Linked DNA regions of Mus musculus. The protein of the gene in region 1 interacts with the protein of each later gene in a pairwise test. Links are inferred from orthologs where the notes say so. Each region holds a gene or a part of one and is shown on either strand. Other genes may lie near its edges.

Region 1 (6,583 bases):
GGGGAGAGGCCTGGGACACAGTGGGCTTCAAACTGCACTCTTTAGTGACTGCAAAACCGTGTGTAGCACGGCCTACCCAGTTTTGAAAGGTGACAACAAAAGAGTACCCTGAGTGTTGCTGTGACCTCACCCGGTGTGTACATTTGTGTGTTTTGTGTACATGTGTATTGTGTGCTTATGTGCTTGTTTTTGTATATGCATATTTGCATATGTATGTTCATGGATTTTTTTTTTTTTTTTTCTGAGACAGGGTTTCTCTGTGTGGCCCCTGGCTGTCCTGGAATCCAGGCTGGCCTCAAACTCAGAGATCATCTGCTTCTGCTTCCCCAGTGCAGGGATTGAAGGCGTGTGCCACCAACCACTTGGCTGTGTGTATCTTTGTTTGTGTGAAAATAAAGGTGGAGGTGGGAGGGCTTTATGGACAGTCCCAACCACTCCTCTTTTTTGTGACTTTATTTTTATCTTATGAATGTGTGTATATGTATGTGCTCGTGTGCACACATAAGAAGTGTAGACCAGAGGTCAATGCCTGTCTTCCTTGGTCACTTTCCAACTCTATTTTTTATTTGAAACAGGGTTTTTCACTGAAACTGGAGCTTGCCAATCTAGCTAAACTGGCTGGCCAGTAAGCCCCAGGAATCTTCCACTGTCCTTCCCTAGTGCTGGAACCACAGGCTTGTGCTTTCTCACATCCGTTCTGGAGATCGAACTTGGGTCCTTGGCTTGCACAACAAGCCTTCCCTCCAGCTCCCACACTCCTTTCCCGAGTGCTGGTGGAAGGGTGTGTGACTTGGTAGCCTAAAGACAGCCTAACTCCTGGAGGGGTGCAATTGGGTTTCGTTTGTTTTGCTAATTATATTCTGCTGTTCAGCCCTGCCTCCTTCTCCCACCAAAGCTCAGAAAGAGCCAATGCAGCTGCCCTCAGCAGCACTATGGGAGGCGACATCAGCCCCAAGAGCAAGCCTGGCCTACACCCTCACCCCACTCTTCCCGTGCCCATCGCATGGCCCAGCAGCGCATGGTCCAGCGTCCCCATCTAAACTCATACTTTTGGGGGGGCACAGTAGAGTTTCCCTTTCTGCTTGGGGCCAGGGTTCCTATTTTCTCAGCCAGACACTTGTAACTGGGACCTGCACTTGCCCATGCCTGTCTCTTGTTTGCTAGCTGTTTGCTTTCTGGTGGGGCTAGGTCTGTACAGGGACTTGCCAGGAGGCCTAGCTTCCCCTGGCAGCACTCTGTCAAATGTACCTTTAGGAAGACCTCTAGTAGCTGCCCAGCAGAGACCCCTCATTCTCCTAAGAAGACACTTGCTAGACTAAGAAGATCCTGCAGTCCAGGGCTAGTCTTTGGTTGAGATCTGAGTCCATCAAATCTGCTCTTGGGGATCAGTAAGTGGGAAGAATCCAGAAGATCGCCGAACAGTGCCGCCCAAACTGGCTGCAAAGTCCCCCCAGAGGGGCCTGGCTCCAAACACCAAGAGTCAAATCGGGGATGCTGGTTGGGGGTGAGGAGGGGGCCTTGTGGAAATCCACCTGTGCCCCTGGGGGCCTGGCTCCAAACACCAAGAGTCAAATCGGGGATGCTGGTTGGGGGTGAGGAGGGGGCCTTGTGGAAATCCACCTGTGCCCTCCTTCTTCAGGGCCACTTTCAAGAGACTGGAAAGAATGGAGGCTCCTTTTCCTGGCCAGGGCAGAGGGAAAGGGCTGCCCAGGCTATCTGGGCAGGATGGCTGTGAGCTCTCAGAAGTCACAGGAGTCCCTGAAAGAGCTGAGCAGCCCACGTTTTGCTGCCTCAATCTGCACTCCGAATGTTCACCACAGGCAGAAGACATCCTAGTTGCCAGTCCTAGGAGAAGCAGGGAGAGACTCGGGACCACCTCCCTATCCATTTTCTCTCATCCCATTCAGCCTAGGAGACTCGTGGGCAGCTCTGCCACGAATAGGAAGGTGGGAAGGGTCTTATGAGGGGTATGGGGAATGGAGGAGCCCAGTGGAGGGCGACTCCCAAATGGGGTGCAGTTCCCTCCTGCAGTCTAGGGGAGGTGGGCCTTTAGGGGATAAGAGTCTGGGTTCACTGTTCAACTGCGGCAGCAGAAGAGTCAGCCCATTGGCTTGTCCGTGCAGGGCGCGGGCCTAGAGGGTCAGACGCAGTGCGTGGGCACCGTGTGGTGCAGCCCATGTGCTGGGATAGGGCGCGAGCACGGGTGGGATTGCATGGTGCGGGCGCAGTGCGGGTGCCGGCGCGGGCGCGACGGGCATGCGAGGGGAGCCGCGGTGCGGGTGCAGGGTGCGGGCGCAGTGCGCGTGCAGGCGCGGGCGCTAGTGCAGGTACAAGGCGCGGGTGCGGTGAGTGTGCGGGTGCAGGCGTGTGTACGGTGCGAGTGAGGCGCGTGCAAGGGGCGGCGGGCGGGGCGGGCGCGGCGGCGACAGCGGCGCCCGCGCCTCTGCGCGCGTAGGTGTGCGGCGCGCTCCTGGCGGGGACAGAGCGAGCAGATCTCGCGTGCGCTCGCCGCCCGGCGCAGCCCAGCCCGGCCCCCGCCCGGCGCCGCGAGCCGAGGTGTCTCCCGCGCCCGCGCCCGTGTCGCCGCCGTGCCCGCGAGCGGGAGCCGGAGTCGCCGCCGCCCGAGCGCAGCCGAGCGCACGCCGAGCCCGATCGCCACCGCCATGGCCACCACGGTGACCTGCACCCGTTTCACCGACGAGTACCAGCTATACGAGGATATTGGCAAGTAAGAGCCTCGGCGCGCGCGGGCTGTCCGCAGACCCCGGGGAGCAGGGACCCCATCGCCGCCCGCCTCGCGCGCACTGCGGCCCCGCGCGCCCCCGGCTCCTTCCAGCTGCGGGCCCAAGCGCACAGCCCCGTGCAGCCCCGACCCCCGTGCCTTGGGTTCTGGGCCCCGCTCCTCCACCGCAGTGCTTACGGCCCTGCCGGGTGCCATAGCTTAGCGGGGACCGGGACTCAGGGACATGGACGCGGCGCGGCGGGGGCGGCAGCAGGTGTCCCCCGAGCGCCGGGCAGACGTGACGCATTTGGCGGCGGGGAGGTCAGAGAGGAGCGGCACCCGGGGGCGGCTGCCAGGCCTAGAGTGCCCGAGGGGTCGGTCATGGCCTCAGGGGGTCGTCTCCGGTGTGGGCACGCTGTCCTCACCCCCACCCGAGAGGCGGGCGGCAGCGGTAGCGGACCCGCTCCGCGCCTGCTCCTCGCGTGGCCCCATCTGCTTTGGGGGAGCAGCGTGGGAGCAGCTTCTGCCTTGGGTCCCTTGGGGAATCTGGGTTCTAGAGGATTTTCCCCCCAGATTCTTCTGGAAACAAGAACTTGGAGGGGGTGGACGAGGTCAGAGAGCCAGGATCAGGCCGTGGAGTGGGGGTGGGGGTGAGAGAGTGAGGAGAGAGAGACAGGGAACCAGTTGGGCCTCTGATTTCAGGGTCATCGAGGCAGAGAGAGGCTGGCTTCTGGACCTTTTTTTTTTTTTTCCTCCTGTGGTGGGAGGGCTGAGGGGAGGGACTCTAAAGGCGTATTTCTAGTAGGGCCTCGTGGGGAACAGGTGCCCTGGCGCCAAGACGCTGCTCCGCAGTACAAGCAATATGGGGGTGAAGCTATGATTGTGAACGTCCAGACCTGGCTTTGTCCTAGGGTCTCAGAAACAGCGAAGCCCCTCAGGGGCCTGGGGCTTCCCTCTGTGATTTAAGGTGACTGCAGGGGCATCCTTAGGTGCTGGCTGCTTAACTCCAGAGCTGGATCTTCCTTCCCACTCCCTCTCCCCTCCCCCATCCGTCTTGTGCCGTGGGGGCGCTGGCGAGATTTCCTCTTACACATCCAGCCGCAAATCCTTTTTTTCCCTTTACTGAAAAAGCGTCTGAAAGCTTGTGGTGGGCGAGGGACGCTGATCACTGATAATTGTGGAGTGCCCCGCTGGAGGAGTGTGGGGGTGTGTGCATTCCCCACTCCTTCCTGCACGTGCCAACAGGATTTGGGTCAGGTCTTGGGGGGCGGGGGTGAGGAGCCAAGTGGAGTGACAGGAGGAAGTCTATACTGGATGGGAAGGAACAAGGCTGGGTGGACCCGGACAGCCATCCCAGCCTGGAGAGCTCAGCGCCCTTTCAGCGCTGTGCCTCACGCTTGCAGGCGTTGAAGAACCTTCCAGTAGCCTGTGGGGGCATGCTCTGTGAGGAAGAGGTGGTGGGCTGGGGAGTCCTCAGGTGGAGCTAAGGCAGCCTCGGGGTTATGGGGGCCAGCCCTGCAGCTCACAGATCCTCTGATGCCTCGAAGAGCTCTTCCGAGCCAGGTTCATCCCCCCACAGCTGTGTGCTGCCAGGGCAGGTGGCAGCAGTGGGAAGCCTCTCCTTCCTAGGGAACCTTCTTGTCACCTTCTCCTGTATGCCCAGGGGCTTGTCTCCCACCCTAGGCCTCTTGGTATCTTCTGAGCAGTCCACATGAGGAGCCCGTAACCTACAGACCACCTAGGTGGGCTAGTTTTCCCCGTTGGTGGGCGCTGTCCTGGGCCGAGCAGCAACATAAGGTGGCCAGCAGCACCCCCGCTGGGGAACGGCCGCTGGAGGGTGACATTTGCGGTAGACACCAGTGAGGGCTGTCACTACCAGCTCCTTCCTAGGCACAAAAGAATGGCCACTCACCCAAGTGTGGGGAGGCTCCTCAGGTGCTGGGGTGGAGGAGACACTCCAGTCAGGGACAGTCAGCTCAGCCCAGCATATCTTGGTGGAGCCTGCTAGGTGCCAGTCCCCAGGAATGGGCAAGGAAGGATGAAGGGGATGGGACCCTCAAGATACACTGTGGGAACTCAGCTCCCCCAGTAGCCATGTTGGCCATGATCACTAGTGGTTGCTGGTGCCTGCCTACAGCACAGTTGGTACTACTTCAGGGCCCCAGGTAGACACATCCAAGTTTATTTAAAGCTGTCGCCCCTGGCACCGGGTCAGGAGATGCTGAAGTCCCCTGCTTGGCCGGAGGGCTGCACCCAGGCCCACAGCTGCTCTTGGTTCTCTAGTGGCAGCTTTGGACTTTCCCCTCAGGCCCGGGCAGCAGATGGGGTGTCTGAGGAGAATGGCTCTCGGGGGTCCAGCCCTCGAGGCACCTCAATGTGTGTCTTTCTTTGTAGCTAGTTCTTGCCTCGTGGTTCATGTGCTGGGTTGCGGACACGCTGTGAACTCAGGGCCCCAGGAGAAAGCACAGTGCAAAGTGGGGGACACCATCAGTCTATGTGGACCAGCCTTGGTGTGGTTTAAATGATCTCCTATTGGATGCGTTTGAAAACCTCAGAGACCCCAGGAGCGATAACCAGTGGTGTCTCTTCTACCCAGAACTAAAACGGAGTCATCGTTTTACCTCAGTCCTGTCTCAAAATTATAGCAAGTAATTACTACAAATAAATACTAAAGAGCCCATTTTCTTCTGTCTCTTTGTCGCACTTGCACAGACACAAAGATCCCTATCAACACTAGGATTCTTCCCCATTTTCTTGTAACTTTGTAAGATTCCAGAACTGTGCTCTTGGTCAGGATAGTCTTGCAGACACACAAGGTGCTGACAGGCAGCGGCCCTGACTGCCACATGGTGATCGTGGCACGAGCACCACGTATCTATCACCCACCCTGTTCCTTACGGAGAGCTAGGCTGCCTCCTAGTCTCTCTGGTCACATGACCAATGCTGTGCGCATGTTGACTGGCACACGAGTGAGATTTGCTTTGGTGTTTGTCACTGGTGGTAGGGTTTACACATGGCAACGCTTGCCCACTTCCACTGGCTGTGAGCCCAATGCACTGGCCCTGCCTTTGGCAGGTACGAAATGATAGTGGGTGCAAAATGATTGAAAGTTCTGCGTTAACGCATGTGAATTTTCCACTTTTAGAGAGTGGTTGTCTTAATAAAATATAGGTGGTCTCCTTAGAGACTTCCGTAAGTTTTGTATATAATTTAGGGTTCATGGACACTCCTACTTTGGGGGAGAGAGCATGGGCGCCTTGGCTTTGGTATTCTTATAGTAGTGCCTAAGGTTACTCACTACCTGACCAAGCTTGGGCTGTGGAGATCACCTTTGACCTTCAGCCCAGAGAGTTCCCGCCATTCTGGGCCCTGCCCCCATGGGCCTAGACCTGACCTTAAGTGTCCTTGGCGCCATCTCCCATCCCCAGCCACCATCCAGAGCAGGTGCTGCCCACTGTCCAGGATCGTTGTCATCAGCTGTTGGTTCTTCTGACTGGGTGACCTGCTGGGTAGTTGATAAACTTGGGACCTTCCTTGTCCTGGGACTGGGTACAGGAGAAATCTTGTTCTTGCTGCATGTTTGCTTTCTCTTTCCTGCCCTGGAGAACCCCAGGCACAATCTGCCTCCTGGCCTTTGCTAGGGCTACCCTCCCCCTCCCACCAATTTGCTTGCCCCACCCCCCACCCCCTTTCACCTACTCTGTTCAGCATTGTCTTGCTCTCCCTGGGACTGGACCACTCACATGAAAGCAGGAGCTGGGACCCCTGCCTGGGGCCGAGGCTCAGGGCGCAGCAGAGTGGGTCTCACGTCACCTGAGGGGAAGGGGTAATTGGACCTCTGGCCTTTGCCGGGTGGCTTGC
Region 2 (3,500 bases), on another chromosome or scaffold:
CCTGTACTCCACTGCTGCTGCTGCTCTTGGTGGTCATCTCATGGTACTGGCATCTCCAAAACACTGCGTGGCCCTTTCAGTCCTGGGCCTTCAATTGCAATAAAGGCACCCTGAGGTGCCTGTGGCCCTGGCGGGGTGGGGGTGGGGGTCACTGCTGGCCTTTTAAGGGCTCTTTGGTAGTGCATATCGGAACACTGACCCCTGAAGTGCAGAGGATGTTGGGTGTGAAGGTCATCGCTACAGCATTGCTTATGCTACACCACAACTGAAGCTGGTATGTGTCTAACACAAGATGGAGATCCCTAGTCAGTCTGATCACTAAAACAATTGCCAGGTCCCCAGGAATAGGTGTGGAAGACACAACTGGTGTTCAGCCTTTGTGAAGGGTTCAGTACCTACTTATTTATCTATTTATTGAGTCTTTTTAAGACCAGGTCTTGTTTTGTACCCTAGGTAGACCTCAGACACAGGTACCTTGTGTAGCCCAGGCTTGCCTTGGAACCTTCCCCTCCACTCCTCGTCGTCCTGTCTTTCTTAATGCTGGGATGCAGGTGTGTGTCCCCAGGCCCTACCTAATGGCCTTGTGTTAATCTGATAATCATGCTCTTCAGCCGTGAGCCCAGAAGAAGGGCTTTACAAGACTTGAGTCCATTGTGTCTTTATCTCAGACTTCTAGTCTGAAAATTGGAGAGATGAAGTTTTACATCCAGCTTAATTTTTGTTTCAGCAGCCCTAACAGACTAAGAAGCAACCTATAGGACAGTCTAGGTTAGACAAAGACTCAGCCTGTAGGACAGTCCAGGTTAGACCAAGACTCAGCCTGTAGGACAGTCTAGATTAGACTGCAAGGGGTGGGTTTTGAGGGTGAAGAGCAGTTAGTCACCATGCTTGCATCCACCATCTGGGCCTCACTGTGGGTTGATGCCATGTACCCAGGGCTTGCAGGTGACTCAGGGACAAACTGGCTGGAGCTATACCTGGTGCCAGATGCTCTTTTAATAATTTAGAATTTTGAATCATGAGACTGGGTCATCTGTTTAAAGGTTCAGAGTGTGTATGTGGGGGGCGGAAGAGAGAAAAGACAGAGAGACAGAGTCTACTAGTCTCTAGTGCCCTGGGAATGCCACTTCCATAGATGACCTGTTCTGTTCCTGTGTACTCTCTGGCCAGTCCCTCTGGTACCACATTGAAGGTAGATAACATAGCAACAATAGGAAGATGCCTTTTCCTTGTTGAGGAAGATGCGACTGTGAAGATATATTTGGCAGGTGCATAGCTACTACCTAACACTAAAGCAGGCCAGAAGAGAGGCAAGGCAGCCAAGCCCGACCTGAGCCCTAATCGCTTCTCTTGGGAAGGGGAGTGAGGCTACCCCCTTTCTATCTCTGTGTGCTTTTCCAATATTCCTTGTGAAGCAGCAGTGCATGTTGATTGTAGAAAAATAAGAAGAAATGTCCTGGTAAGCACATGGCAGTGACTCTGAGGTACTCTCTAGTGTCTCTCCAACTTAGGCTAGAAGTGTCCCTCAGTCCCATTATTCTACAGTGAGGAACAAAGCAGGCAGTTTTGCAGAGCATCTCTGTCATAAGGACTTGCTGGGCTGGACTGGGCTGATGGCTTTTTCTGGTCTTTGCAGGAGCGCTGTGTGGCTGCCCTGGCACGGGTGGAGCGCACTGACTTCCTGTCACCCATGTGCATCGGCGAGGTGGCTCATGTCAGTGCAGAGATCACCTACACTTCCAAGCACTCTGTGGAGGTCCAGGTCCACGTGATGTCGGAGAACATCCTCACAGGTAACTAACTCCCAGGTGCTTCTCACCAGCCAGCACGCTCAGCGGTAGCATCTTTGAGCACGGATCACAATAGTGTTCTGGTTCGCTTTTTGTTGTGGTGGTGAAACATGAACCAAAACTAACTTGGGGAAGAAAGGCTCTGTTTTGGTTTAGAGGCCACAGCCATCACTGGGGAGACCATACTGAAGCAGAGGTGGTGGAGGAATGCAGTTTACAGGCTCCCTCCCTCTGGCTTGCTCAGCTGCCTTTCTTACACAGCCGAGGCCACCTGCCTAGGCATGGTATACTCTTCTGCATCAATCGGCAGTTTAGAAGATGTTGCCAAGACACGGTCACAGGCCAGTCTGATCTCAGCAATTCTTTAGTTGAGGTTTTTTTCTTCCCAGGTGACTGTTTGTATCAAGTTAGTAGCCGAAGCTGACTGTGGCAACAGCTTGTTCATGCATGGAGGGCTGACCATGCCCAGGCGCTGACGTCCTTGCTGTATGACCTCTTTGGTCCTCTTGCTCCCTGAGCAGAGTCTTCACTCCCTGTGTGTCTGCAGTTGGCAGATGGAGCACCGGTGGATTACAAAGCACACTTGAGCCCTCTTCCAGCCAGAACAGGAGTCCCAGCCTGCTCCCTCTCCTTCTTGAGACCACTTAGTCAATGGCTGCCACCTGTGCCTCTGTATCTACCCCGCTATTCTAGACCTTGGCTTGTATGACTTTGCAGAGGCTCCTGGACCAATCTGTCCCTGCCCATCTAGAAACCAGGTTGGGTGAGCCATTGCCTTTGGTTCATCTGTACCTTTTCCTTGGCTGTGGTAACCATGGAAACCTTTCTCCTCTTCTCTGTTGGCATCATGAGTGTGGAGCTCCTTCCCATGAAGAGCTTATGTTTCTTTTGTAACCTGGCTGGGAGCGCAGGCCCTTTTGCCCAACTCTGCCTGTGGTCCATATGCCTTGCAGGTTGGGCTGCTTCGTTCTTTCCTCCGTTCCCAGGTCTCTGCAGTGGTGACCTCATGGAGTGGTGACCTCATGGAGTGGTGACTGAGGGCTGACTAAGGGGCTCAGGTCTTTTTGGGAATGGCTAAGAACAGAGCTCTCCATCTGGAACATTCCAATGATTTCAGCAGGGATGGACTCAAATGGGCTGTGTGAGCCCAGCCACTATGTACTGGGAGGCTGCGAGGCCTCTGCTCTGCTCTCAGGCCCTTTGGCATTAGAGTGTCCCTCCGGCCATGGCACAGGAAGGGACAGCTATGTACCACTAGGGGAAGAGAGGCCAGCGCAGGGAGGGTTTGCCATCTGTCCTATGGACCTTCCTCTGCTGGGTCTAGCTGGGGTTGCTGTCACCTCTGACCACCCCTGGGGTCCTTGGTCTTCATGTTTGTTTGAAACCAGCCAGTAGATCTTTTCACTGTGGGAACCTTCAGCTTCAGAAACTGTATGGGGCCTGCCTTAAGAATGGATTCCCAAGGGAATATCAATGGCTCAGTGCTTAAAAGCACTGGCTACTCCTAACAGAGGACCTGGGTTTGATTCCTAGGATGCACATGGTGGCTCACATCTGTCTTAACTCCAGTGTCAGGGCATCTGTTGCCCTCTTCCTGCCTCCAAGGGCACCAGATGTGCACACAGTGTACACACATGCATATTTACACACATAAAATAATATAGTTTAAAAGAAATCACATTTCTGCCTAATCTGTAACAACCAAAGCCT
Region 3 (5,550 bases), on another chromosome or scaffold:
ATAAATTTCATGATAGGCCATGACTCCCCTGGAAATCTGAAATTTGCTTTCATGGCAGAGAAGTTCGAGTTGCCTCTAGATTCTATAAAAAGGCCATAGGAACAAGAGAGGAGCCGTATAATTTTGAGGGGAAATGTGTTTGAAGTTGGCTTATGGTGTGGTTGTTAGCACTGGCTCACGCTGCATCTGAGGACATAGGCATGTCCTGGGGGGGAGGGGCAAGTAAGAGCCTGAGCTCTCCTCCTGCCCCTGGACCAGGATGCCGCTGAGGAATCCTGTGCGCTCATCTGTCAAGTCTTCCAGATCATCTACGGGGACCAGAGCATCGAGTGTGTAGACCGGGCCGGCTACCACTACAGATCCACACCAAAGCGGCCATGGCTCTCCAGCTGCAGTGCGTATCTAAACTCCCACAAAGCACTGGGAGAGGCTGCATGTCCTGATAGTCAGAGCTGATGAAGGCCTTTGGGAGTTCTGAGCTGGACCCCGGGTCTAGGGGTCCACTTGATAGAATGTCATTCTTCTTGATGACCTCTTTAGCGATGACCTGATGCTCAGGTTGTCAAGTTTGGGATGAGTTTGAACTTAGGCACTTGAACGTCTCTCTTGTTTTGGGTGTCCCTGCTTTGCAGAAAGTTCAGCATGTGTACTGTCGGCTAGCTGAGCCATCTCACCCCATGAGATTCCTAGGGCTGACATTTCCAGATTAGTCCATGTATGCAATCAAGGGTTGGAATTAAAGTGAGACTAACAGGGACATTTGTTGAGTGCCAGTTATATGCCAAGCACAATAGCCAGATGCCAAGTCTTCTTGAGTCTTTATGGCATCTTACCTTTCACATTCACTTAGCACAGACGTGGACACCTCACAGATGCTAGAGAAGTAGTCTTCAGAGAAATGAAAACTGCTCAGTCCCCAGGCAGGTGAGCTGGCTCAGTGGGGAAAGGGGCTTGCTGCCAACCTTGACAACTGAGTTTCAAAAGTTTCCCCCACGACCTCCACATGGGCACCATGGCACGTGCAAACTCAGACCTAAGCACATTAGTTAATAGTCCCAAGCTTTTGGGACGATGAGGCAGAAGGATCCGAGTTTCAGGTCAGCCTGAGCTGCAGTGGAGAAACTTTATCTTTAAAAAGAAGAAAAAAGATCTGTGCATGGTGGTGATATACATCTTTCATCTCAGCACTTGGGAAGCAGAGGCAAAAAGATCTCTGAGGTCAACACCAACCTGATCTACTGCAAGTTCCAGTCCAGCCAGGGCTACATTGAGAAAAGGGGGAGGGGGTAGAAGAGCCTCTCTGATGTCCCGTGAATCTAGTTTTACAGATAGTAAGCATTGAGGCTCAAGTAGTCACAGGTCACATGGTTGGTAGGTCAGAGTCAGAATCCAAGCTCAGTGTGTCTAAGTTCCAAAGCTTCTGTCTGCATCTCTCCCCCTCCCCCTCCCCTCCCCTCCCCTCCCCCTCCCCCCCCTCTCTCTGCTCCCCTCACAGACATTACATCAATTCCCTCCCCCACAGCCTGCTCTGGAGTGGTCTCTGTTTGCGCAGCCCCAGCAGCTGTGTCACTGGCCTTGTGGAGACCAATGAAGGGTTTAATTCCAACCCTTGATTGCATAAGCCCCAGGTTCCATCCCTACAGCATGTGCACACAAACACACATTTACCAACACTCTCCCACTGCCTCTCATTTATTTGTCAGCTGCTATGGACCTTGGCACTGAGGAAGGCGAGGATTAGGGAGGTCAGTTGCCTGAGGTTAGCTATGTGTCAGGGCTTGACCAGAACTAGATCCCAGGGTGCTGCCAAGGCCAAGGGGTGCAGGGAGCCTGGGATATTGGAGCCTGCATGTCACCTCTGACAGTTCTCCTGTCTGCTGGTCCCAGGTGAGAGCTGTCGTACGGACGGGACGTTTGCCTATGATGCCGACTTGAGCTGCTGCAGCTCCTTGTGAGTATCAGCTCTGTCTGGGACACCAGTTCCTCTCCTCAGCCCCTCCCGAACTCCTACAAGCATGATTTGCCTTTCTTCCAGTCACAGCTTCTTCTTCACCATCCTCAGAGTGGCCTCATGTCCAAGCTGTAGCTCCAACCATGCAACAGCACACCAGTGGCCTCTTAAATGACTTTAGGGAGGATGGAGATCAGAGAATACTACAGCATCACCATGCATGTTCACTGTATGAAAAGCCCTGGGTTCCATCCCTACAGCATGTGCACACACACACACACACACACACACTCACCATCAAGCTTAGATTTTAGTAGTCAAATTTTGGCGGCTTGGTCAGAACTAGCTGCAAGCAAGACTGCAGGCTTCTGCAGGCTCGGGGTGTAGCTCAGCTGGTAGAGTACTTCCCCTGCCATGCACAAAGCCCTGGTTCAATCCCCAGCACTGCATACCCTGATGCACACCTGTCATGTCTACATTCAGAAGGTAGAAGCAAGAGGACCAGAGAGTCACCGCTGGCTACATAATGAGTTCAAGACAAACCTGGGATATATGAAACCTCCCTCAAAATGTTTTAAAAACAATTCTGTTAGAAACATTGCCCATCCCCGTTTGCTCAGGATTGAGGAGTTTCCCAAGATATGGGATTTTCAGTTTAAATCCAATAAAACCCTCAGCAGGCCTGTGGTAGGGAGTTATCCTGGTCCTGTAAAGATTCTGATGTTGGCAAGTAGTGGCCCCTGCCAGTGGCCTGTGCCCTACCATACCAATGTTGATATTGGCACTACATTTGTATTCCCGAACCCATGTGTGTATAAACTAGCCCATAACTGACCTGATTTAGCAGAGGTGAGCAGAATCACACTAAGGACCCATTCGCTGAGCTTGCCATGTGATTGTGTATCATTGGCTTTTGTTAGCTGCTGTGTGGCTAGTTATCTGTTACGTGGGCTCTACAGTCTGAAGTGCTTGACAAACGTTAGTTCCTGTCATTTTTCACAGTGACACCAATCTTCATCATCCCATTTTACAGATGGAGAAGCTGAAGATTAGGGAAACAAAGTTTAGCATCCCAAGGGTCAGACAGACTTGGCTTGTGAGCAGAAGCAGGCTGGAATGCGAACTCAGGAGTCTACGCCCTTGCTAGGTCTGTGTTCCCAGACTTCTGGAGGTGGAAGTCAGAGTGTTAAAAGTTCAAAGCCCAAGCCCAGTGAGGTCATCTTATTTTAAAAGTAGTGAATAATGAGAACTTCCTACATTGGGCTGGGGGTGATCCAGAGATAAGAGAGTGTTTGCCTAGGATATCAGAGGCTTTCATTCCAACCCTCCCTGTCACTGCATAAACCTGGCTGGGTGGTTCATGCAACAACGTCAGCCCTGGGAGGTTGGAAGCAGGAGGATCAGAAGGTCAAGGCTAATCTCTGCTACATAGAGAGCTTAAGACCATTCTAGGACATGTGAGACCCTATCAAAAAACAAAACCCTCCACGATGATCCGGGCAGCCTAGTTTATAAAAAAGAACTCAGCAGAGAGAAAGGAGAAGGGCCACACAATTCAGCAGAGGTGGCAGCCAGCAGTGATGACGCCACACTGACAAGGAGCTTCCTGGGCTATGGGAGAGTCAGAAGGGGACTCTACCTTATCCAGGAACCAGGAGGGCTTCCTGACAACAGCTGAGCTGGAAATAAAGGGGACAGGTCATTCCATGCAGAGGGGAACAGTGAGAATTCAGAATAAGCAGGTAGAGGTCCTGTGGCTGTGACATCAGACGTGAGAGAGACAGTGGCGGAGAAAGAATTCCAGGCAGAGGGAGCGGCGTGTGCAAAGGCCCAGGATGGGGTAAGGAAAGGTGACCCGAGTGCCCAGAGCAGGAAGGGACTTGAAAGGTTGCTGGGCTTTGATGAGCAAGACGAGGTCTGGATAGCCTTGAGCACTGGTATAGAGGCCCAACCACCTTTAGCCTCCCTAGGGAAAGGAGCAGAGGTTGGTGAGGCTACTTCCATCCTTTCTGTGCAGCAATGGCTCCCAGGACACATTTGAAGCGTGCTACAGTGGCGCATCCACACCGTCTTTCCACGGCTCCCACTGCAGCAGTATCGACCACAGCAGCTGGGCCTTCGAGCAGCTACAGGATTACATGGTCACGGTGAGCATGAGTGGGCGGCAGAGCTCCGCAGCAAGCATGGCTCAGAGATCAGGGAAGGAGGTGTGACCAGGAGAGGCCAGCTTAGAGAAGCCTGGACTGGTGTCAGCCTGCACTGAATGTCTTGGGCACCTCTCCTGCATCTTGTCTTTCATCTCTTCAGCAACCTCAAGAGGGAGGCTCCCTCCTCACCCCAAATACAGAGAAGGAAAGCAAGGGTCAGAGAGATAATGACATCCTGCCACCACAGAGGAGGTCACCAAAGGATTGGGACTCAGGAAGCTGGACCCATATTCCATTTGTTTTACTGCTGTGAACGGACACCATGACCAAGGCAACTCTTATAAGGACAACATTTAGTTGGGGCTGGCTTACAGGTTCAGAGGTTCAGTCCATTATCATCAAAGCGGGAGCATGGCAGCATCCAGGCAGGCATGGTGCAGGAGGAGCTGAGAGTTCTGAACCTTCATCTGAAGGCTGCTAGCAGAATACTGACTTCCAGGCAGCTAGGTTGAGGGTCTTAAAGCCCACACCTACAGTGACACACCTACTCCAACAAGGCCATACCTTCTAATAATGCCACTCCCTGGGCTAAGCTTATACAAACCACCACACCATTCTGAGATGCAAAGGACCAGATGTTGACCCTCCAGTAGGCAGTGGAAGATTTTGCAGGCAGGCTGGGCCTGACAGAATGCCAGAAAGAACCTCAGCATTTTTAGCAGAAGTCAGGTGGTGTTGCAGTCTGGATCTGGTCCCCAAGGGGTATCCTTCACTCCCACAGCTGCGGAGTAAGCTGGGTCCTCCTGAGATCCAGCAGTTTGCATTGCTGCTACGAGACTATCGTCTGGGGCTGCCTATCCAGGACTACTGTGCAGGTCTGCAGAAACTCTATGGGGACCGACGGAAGTTCCTTCTCATTGGTAAGCCCCACTCCCCCTTGGCTCCAGGCATTCCCAGCTAGGCACCACCTGGGAGCACTTTGTTTTCTGAGCCCCTAAAGCCCAAGACTTTGAGAACCTGGACCTGAGGAGAGCAAGAAAGAGTGCAGAAAAGGGAATAGGATCGCCAGGAGGTGGCAATGCTCAAACTGGCAGGAGCAGAGCCCTAGAGTAGCAAAGCTGGTTAGGCTGTGATCACACACACACACACAGGGGGGGGGGAGGGGGAGGGGGGAGAGAGGGAGAGAGAGGGAGGGAGGGAGGGGGAGGGGAGAGGGGGAGGGAGGGGAGGGGGAGAGGGAGAGCGAGAGGGAGAGGGAGAGAGGGAGAGGGAGATAGGAGGAGGGAGAGGGGGGAGAGGGAGAGAGGGAGGAGAGGGAGAGGAGAGAGGGAGAGGGGGGAGAGGGGGAGAGGGGGAGAGGGGGAGAGGGGGGGAGAGGGGGGAGGGGGAGAGGGAGAGAGGGAGAGGGAGAGAGGGAGGGGGAGAGGGGGAGGGGGTGGGGAGGAGGCGGAG
Region 4 (6,455 bases), on another chromosome or scaffold:
TGGAGATGGGTGAGTTGGGAGTCCCCCAAAAGATCCTGGAGGTGGGCTTGGCACCACACAGAAAAATATTTCAGAGTCTCCATCCCTTGGAGCCATAATGTAGATGAGGAAGCGCCTTCCAGAGAGATGTCATCTCCACAAGAAGAGTGCAAAGCACGGTCATAGCAGAGGGTCCATCTCTGATTATATTACGAAATTCTACATGAGAAGAAAAGCTGGGGATAATTTTGTGGGAAAGCACACTAGCCCTTTGAGTGCTATACAATCAAACACCTAGGTTGTAATCCTGGCTCTGCCACTCTTAGGCAAGCTATTGAACACCTGGGAGCCTCAGTTTCTTCATCTTTAAAATGGGCATATAAGTAATTATTATTATAAGGGGTAATTGAGATAGTGCATGCAAAACACTTGGCAGGCATTAAACACTGGCAGAATGTTGGCAGGGTTCTAGCCGGCTATATTAAAGTTTTGCTTCAGAGATAATTCTCTGAAGAATTATATAAGCATAATTATATCGAAGCAGTCAGTAGTCGACCATGAAAACCCTTCCTCCACTAAAAGGCAGAGCCAAGGCAGAGAGAAAGCACTTCACCTTAGTAAGGCACAGGATTATACTGAGGTTCTGCCTGGCTCTGCTGGCAGGTACTTGCGGCTGTGGACACTCGGGGCCGCAGCCAAGAATCTGGAGCAGGTTCACTCCCAAATGGAGCCCTAAGTACCGCTGTGACTTGGAACCAAAAGCAACACTGCTCGGTTCTTCCTTCCGTGAGGACGTTTAAAGCAGAGGCTAGTGGCAGGGGGATAGCAAGCCTGGCTACTTAACCCTGGTTGACTCGACACAAAGCCGATCCCCACCCCTCTGTGCCCCCGGGCTCCCGCTGCCAGTGCAGTACACAGACAGGTCTCGACATCTCTCCTAGCAAGGATCTAGAGAGACTCGGGACAAGTCCAGGCGTCACCTCACATCGCCGTGCAACTGAGCGGAGCCAAGTCTTGAGACTGCCCTCCCCACCAAACAGAGCTTTGGGAAGAGGCAAGCCCGGGCAGCCCCACCTCCCCTGATGCCACGAACTTGCGGTGGCTCATTGCTCATCCCAGCCTTCTTCCTGCTAAGATCAAGTTAGGAACTTCAGGGTTTCTTAAAGACGGGGAGCAGCAATGAGCTCTAGTTGCTCTCTTTAAGGGACGGTCGTGACTGGGCTTAAAGAAGTCAGACTCCCTCCTGAACACCAACAAAGGACTATATTTAGTTTGGAGCACTCCACCTAAATTCCTTCTTTTCCCCTCTCAGCTTCAGATGCACAGGCCCGGGCAGTGGGTGGAAGGGGGCGGGGAGCAGTGGAGAAGGAACAGCTGGGCCTCCGCCTCTCCACTCAATCTCTATAAATAACCAATCCTGAGCGGAGGCGACTTTGCAGCCAATGAAGCTGTCTAAAGCGACAAAACCTCAGCAACAGCCAATGGAAAAACATTTGGGGGTGTGAGACTCACATCCTGGGGCCAATGAGTTGGGAGTCTGGGAGAGGTAATTTGAGCTGGCGTGTGGGTGTGCGGTGCGAAACCTTCCTACTTGCAAGCCCCAAACCTGCTCCTCCGACTGAGCATGCCCTGACTCGGTGCGGGAGCCACGGGGCTCGATCCACAAGCCATATTTTGGCTCTAACCAAAGGGGTGTTGGGGAGGGGGGAGACGTAGGATGACCCCGCAACTCTTGCCCTGAAGGCTGCAGCTCTCCACAGATTCCCAGCCCTAACTCCTTGTCCGGACAGGGACTCAGGTCGAGTTCTTCGTGGGAAACTGAGGAACACCGGGCCAAGTGGGAGCACGAACCTCTGCTACCTTCCGGGGCCTGAAAAATGCCCTGCAAGTGTACGATCCTGAGAGGCGCGCAGCAGCCTGAGTTCGGGGACAAGTGTCTATCCTTTAACAGCGCAAGCCGACGAAGAGGTCGCAGCCAGCTGCTGCCTGCTGTCCCCATAGGAGGCCGGCAGCCGCACAGCCCCGACCGAGGTGACTTCGGTTTGGCGAGCTTTCCACTTACAAGCACACACAAGCAAGACTGCCCAGTTCCAAGATTCGCGCCGCCCCGCCCTGCCCCGCCCAGCCCCTGTTTGCCACACCCTCTGTCACGCCCCCTCCCGATGCGGCGGAAAAGCTGGAGCGGAGTTCGGGCGGGGCACCGCGGGCGACGTACTGGGCATGCTCGGCTGGGCGGGGAGGGCTGGGCTGCGCGCGGCGAGTAGGAAGCCCTCGCCCAGCGGAGGCTGCGGGAGACAGAGGAGAGAGAGTGATGGGTCGCGGAGCTGGACGCACGTTCCGCGGGGACTCATGCCACGCGTGTCTCAGCCGGACGCCCAATTAGCAGCCGCCTCTGCAACCAGCCGCCACCTCCTCCCGGCCCTCCCAGGCTGCCGGGGCGAAGAGCTCCAGCCGTTGTCTTGCTCCGGCTGCGCGCATTGTCCTCAGGGTCCTCCGACAGGGCTGCTGCGGGGCCCGGGACCCGCGCCCTAGGGACGCGCCCCCGCTGCCGGTCGGCCTGGCGCGGGGCTCTGCTAGTCTGTTGGCGAGCCCGTGCTACCGGGCTAGTCTCGCCGGGGTTTTTCCTGCGAAGTTGAGGAAGGGGAGAAGTCCACCCGTCCGCCCAGCCCAGCCTTCCCCGGCGCGCAGCCCCGACGGGGCCGCGGCAGGCGCGACGAGGGCGCCGACGGAGCCATGAGAGAGTACAAAGTGGTGGTACTGGGCTCGGGCGGCGTGGGCAAGTCCGCGCTCACCGTGCAGTTCGTAACAGGTTCCTTCATCGAGAAGTACGACCCGACCATCGAGGACTTTTACCGCAAGGAGATCGAGGTGGACTCGTCGCCGTCGGTGCTGGAGATCTTGGACACCGCGGGCACGGAGCAGTTCGCCTCAATGCGGGACCTGTACATCAAGAATGGCCAGGGCTTCATTCTCGTCTACAGCCTGGTCAACCAGCAGAGCTTCCAGGACATCAAGCCCATGCGGGACCAGATCATCCGCGTGAAGCGGTACGAGCGCGTACCCATGATCCTGGTAGGCAACAAGGTGGACTTGGAGGGTGAACGTGAGGTCTCCTATGGCGAGGGTAAGGCCCTGGCCGAGGAGTGGAGCTGCCCCTTCATGGAGACATCGGCCAAAAACAAAGCCTCAGTGGATGAGCTATTCGCAGAGATCGTGAGGCAGATGAACTACGCGGCACAGCCCAACGGCGACGAGGGCTGCTGCTCGGCCTGCGTGATCCTGTGAGGCGCCGTCTGCCGCCGGGCGCTGGCCACGCTCTGTGCACAAAGCCAAACGCACCCGATTCTCTTAATGTGATTGTCTTCTTGCTTTGAGATTGGAGACGACTTTGTTGTCTTGGCTGGGATGTCCGAGGAACCTGGCTGACTTGTGTAGCCAGCATCCCCAGCCTTCAGCCAGGGTCTGAGAGGGTGTACGTTGCAGAGCATCTGAGACCCCGGTGGAAAAATGGCTCTATACAGCGTGTACGTTCCTCGTTGATTTTGGTTCATGCATATTTCCCCGTTTAAATAGCCATTAAGGCTCTGTATTGGCTGCTTGACACCGGCAAGCAAAAGTTTCAAACCTGAAAAAAAAAAAATGGGGGTGGCGAAGCAGAGGAAGTGAAGGGGAAGGAGGCAGTGGGGGAGGGTTCCCCTGAGCAACTGTTCATAGTTCCAAGTTTTAACACAAGGAAAGAGGTCCAAGAAAATCATATGAAGGAGCCAGAAGAGGGGACGAAACTTTTTTTCCTTGTTTTCCAGGATTATTTAGAAATTAAGACCAGGGGTTCCTTTTCTGCCAGCTTGGAAGGGCAACCCAGGGACTGATTACGATTCTGAGGATGTCTATGCAAAGTTGGGTTCTTGTTACAGTGTATCCAATCTGAAGTATTGCACATGTGAACTGGGACTGTTTAACACTGATGCCAATACAGTGTGGGGTGCCAGGAAGTGTCTGCTGATATTTGTGGGGAAAAAAAATCTATTTTGATTACCTACTGTATCAAAGGGGAGTCTGGGGGGAGAATGGTAGTATTTTTTTTTAATCAGCTGTGAAAAATGTTACAAATCTGCACATTTTTTGTGTGTGCTATTGTGTGTGTGTGTGTGTATGAGTGTAAGTATAGCTTTTTTTTTTTTTTTTTTTTTTTTTTGTGGTTGGCAGTGACAGATTTTGCTGACTAGCTTTTAAAAATACAATACAAAGACTTCGTAAATGTGATTCAGGGCGCCCAGCACCCCTGTGTCTGCAGAGTGCCTTCAAACTCAGCTGTTCCAGCCGGTGCCAACCTGTGAATTCCCACCATGTCCCAGAATCTGCTGTTCTGCTTTCCCCAAAACTACTTTAAGCATCTTCCTGAAAGAGCCAGGATGAATAGGACCTGTTATTCCGTGAATTGCTTCATTAATTTTAGCTTTTTTTTTCAATGTTAAGTCCATAAGTCTTGAATTTTTTCCCCCTTCATTTTGTTCTAATTTCAGGTTTTAGCTCTCCTTTTCTGTTGTTTTCGAAATGTCTGTTATCTGTTACAGGGTGTTCCTCCAGAGGCAAAGAGCAAAATTTTATTGTGATGTACCAAAAGAATTTTAACAAGTTGTAACTTTTAATTCCACTCATTTAGTCACTGTCTCTTCATTTTAAGACTTTTAATACAACTGTCATTTTTAAAGAAACCCCAAACTATTTGTGGTTTTGTGTTTCATATTCAGTGATTTACAGTCTCCGTGAATATGGTGCCAGGCGGGGAGGTGGATCGGGCCAGGTCCATGATGCCTTTTGAGTTATGTGTCAAAATTTGAAGATAGGATTATTTCTATGAAAAATTGGGTAACAATGTTTCCAAGTCTTTAAAAGTGGAGAAAAGTATCAAGGCCTAAGACTCACAGGGTATGGCCAGGGCATCTGACTGTCCAGATGAGGAAGCACTGCTCTGCTGAAGAAGAGTAATGAACTTTACTGTTGATAGCAAAGGGGCAAGTCCCCCCCTCCCCGACTCCCCCCCCACCCCCAGCTAGTAACACCCTCTTAGGCCTGGGAAAGCAAAGTGGACCTGGCAGAATAACTAACAGGGGCACTTTCTATTTGTCTTGGTTTGATGTTGTCTGTTTATGTCCCACACCGAGTCAGAAGTGATCTTAACTTTGATCTCACACACCCTGCCCTCTACAACGTATGGATGGAATACAATTATTCTAGCCGTTATTTCAACCCTTCCAAAGTTTTTATTTGGAACCAAATCAAAGATTGAGAACAAAAAGTAAACAAGACGAAGAGGATTCCCTTGCTCTCCTTCTATTTGCCCACAACAGTTTTTAAAAGTAGGAGGCAATGTGTGTTGGTGTTTTATTTGTATTTTGCTTGGGCTCTCCAGTACAATAATCTTTACAGAATAACAAAGTATCTATAAGATATAATACCACAGGTTCCTGAGGCAAAGCTGATGTCTGAAGAGTCTTAACTAAGGAATTTACTCCCTTGGCAAAGCCAAAAGAGATCACAGGTTTCTTTAAAGCTATAACAATATATATTGCCTTAATTTTTTTTTTTCTCCATCCAAGTTGCATCTCATCATTTCGTGGGCAGGAAGAACATTTTGCCTGTCCTGGCCTTTGTTTATTCTCCAACTCGGATCTCACATCTCCATTAGTGTCAGATGTGATTCTGCTTCCAAGTATACAAATTGAAAAATAATGTTTTTACAAGAATTCATTCTTAACATTTGAACGAGTGTATTTGCTTAGGTCGATGAAAGTGTTGCACATTTAAAGTGTTGACGCATTTTGAAGATGTGTCAAGCACTGTTGGAGGGGTTGCTTTTTAAAAAAATGCTTATGGTGGCCCTCTTCTCATGATTTGGAAGGCTTTGAACAAAAGTGTTGCCAAGTATATAGCTCAGAAAATACTTGAAGGTGGACAGTGATCTAGATTGTTGGTGCATTAATCACCTCTCCAGAGGCTTCCCAGAGGTCATGGAAGGCAGGGCAGGCTTTTGAAAACATGTTTCTACTGAGTACTGTAAAATAAATGCTTTTGGATTGTACAATTAAAGCTGCTGCAGGAAAATGGAGCCCTGAGTTGTTTGGCTTGCGACTGTTATTTTCATGGCAACATAGACATTTGTCTCTTGGCCTTTTTGTTTTTGCTTTCTTGCTTTAAGAAGGTAATGTTAAGGGTGACAGTTTATTTGGCTAGGAAGAACTTCATCTAGTGTTGTGCTGTGAGGCAATACAAGCATTTGTTTCAGGGCAAAAGTCAGGCTGGTTTAACTGCTAAAGGAACTGAGTCAGGTGGGAGGAGTCAGGGTGGGAGGGGTTGGATGTAAAGTGATGTCACTTGTCAAAACAGAAATTGGGAGGGAGAGGAGCTGCAAAGAGGATGCAAACTGACCACTGACCTTGTCTACTGGGGTCTCTCTCTCTCTCTCTCTCTCTCTC

Evidence for each region.
Region 2: the proteins of Camk2b (region 1) and Acot7 interact in binary tests that used the Homo sapiens proteins (3 or more experiments, as listed by UniProt). The two-hybrid records come from large-scale screens. The link is inferred for Mus musculus from reciprocal best matches to the Homo sapiens genes CAMK2B and ACOT7.
Region 3: the proteins of Camk2b (region 1) and Ccm2l interact in binary tests that used the Homo sapiens proteins (3 or more experiments, as listed by UniProt). The two-hybrid records come from large-scale screens. The link is inferred for Mus musculus from reciprocal best matches to the Homo sapiens genes CAMK2B and CCM2L.
Region 4: the proteins of Camk2b (region 1) and Rap2b interact in binary tests that used the Homo sapiens proteins (3 or more experiments, as listed by UniProt). The two-hybrid records come from large-scale screens. The link is inferred for Mus musculus from reciprocal best matches to the Homo sapiens genes CAMK2B and RAP2B.

Annotation. Positions count from the first base shown.
Region 1 is NC_000077.6:6,061,619-6,068,201, reverse strand, and holds the start of Camk2b (calcium/calmodulin-dependent protein kinase type II subunit beta), read left to right. Parts: upstream 1-2,453; 5' UTR 2,454-2,663; coding exon 2,664-2,728; intron 2,729-6,583. UniProt on the Homo sapiens protein: Calcium/calmodulin-dependent protein kinase that functions autonomously after Ca(2+)/calmodulin-binding and autophosphorylation, and is involved in dendritic spine and synapse formation, neuronal plasticity and regulation of sarcoplasmic reticulum Ca(2+) transport in skeletal muscle.
Region 2 is NC_000070.6:152,216,100-152,219,599, forward strand, and holds part of Acot7 (cytosolic acyl coenzyme A thioester hydrolase), read left to right. Parts: intron 1-1,636; coding exon 1,637-1,793; intron 1,794-3,500. UniProt on the Homo sapiens protein: Catalyzes the hydrolysis of acyl-CoAs into free fatty acids and coenzyme A (CoASH), regulating their respective intracellular levels.
Region 3 is NC_000068.7:153,074,514-153,080,063, forward strand, and holds part of Ccm2l (cerebral cavernous malformations 2 protein-like), read left to right. Parts: exon of another isoform or gene 1-258; coding exon 259-394; intron 395-1,887; coding exon 1,888-1,951; intron 1,952-3,968; coding exon 3,969-4,098; intron 4,099-4,879; coding exon 4,880-5,018; intron 5,019-5,550.
Region 4 is NC_000069.6:61,362,345-61,368,799, forward strand, and holds Rap2b (ras-related protein Rap-2b), read left to right. Parts: upstream 1-2,162; 5' UTR 2,163-2,712; coding exon 2,713-3,264; 3' UTR 3,265-6,359; downstream 6,360-6,455. UniProt on the Homo sapiens protein: Small GTP-binding protein which cycles between a GDP-bound inactive and a GTP-bound active form. Involved in EGFR and CHRM3 signaling pathways through stimulation of PLCE1.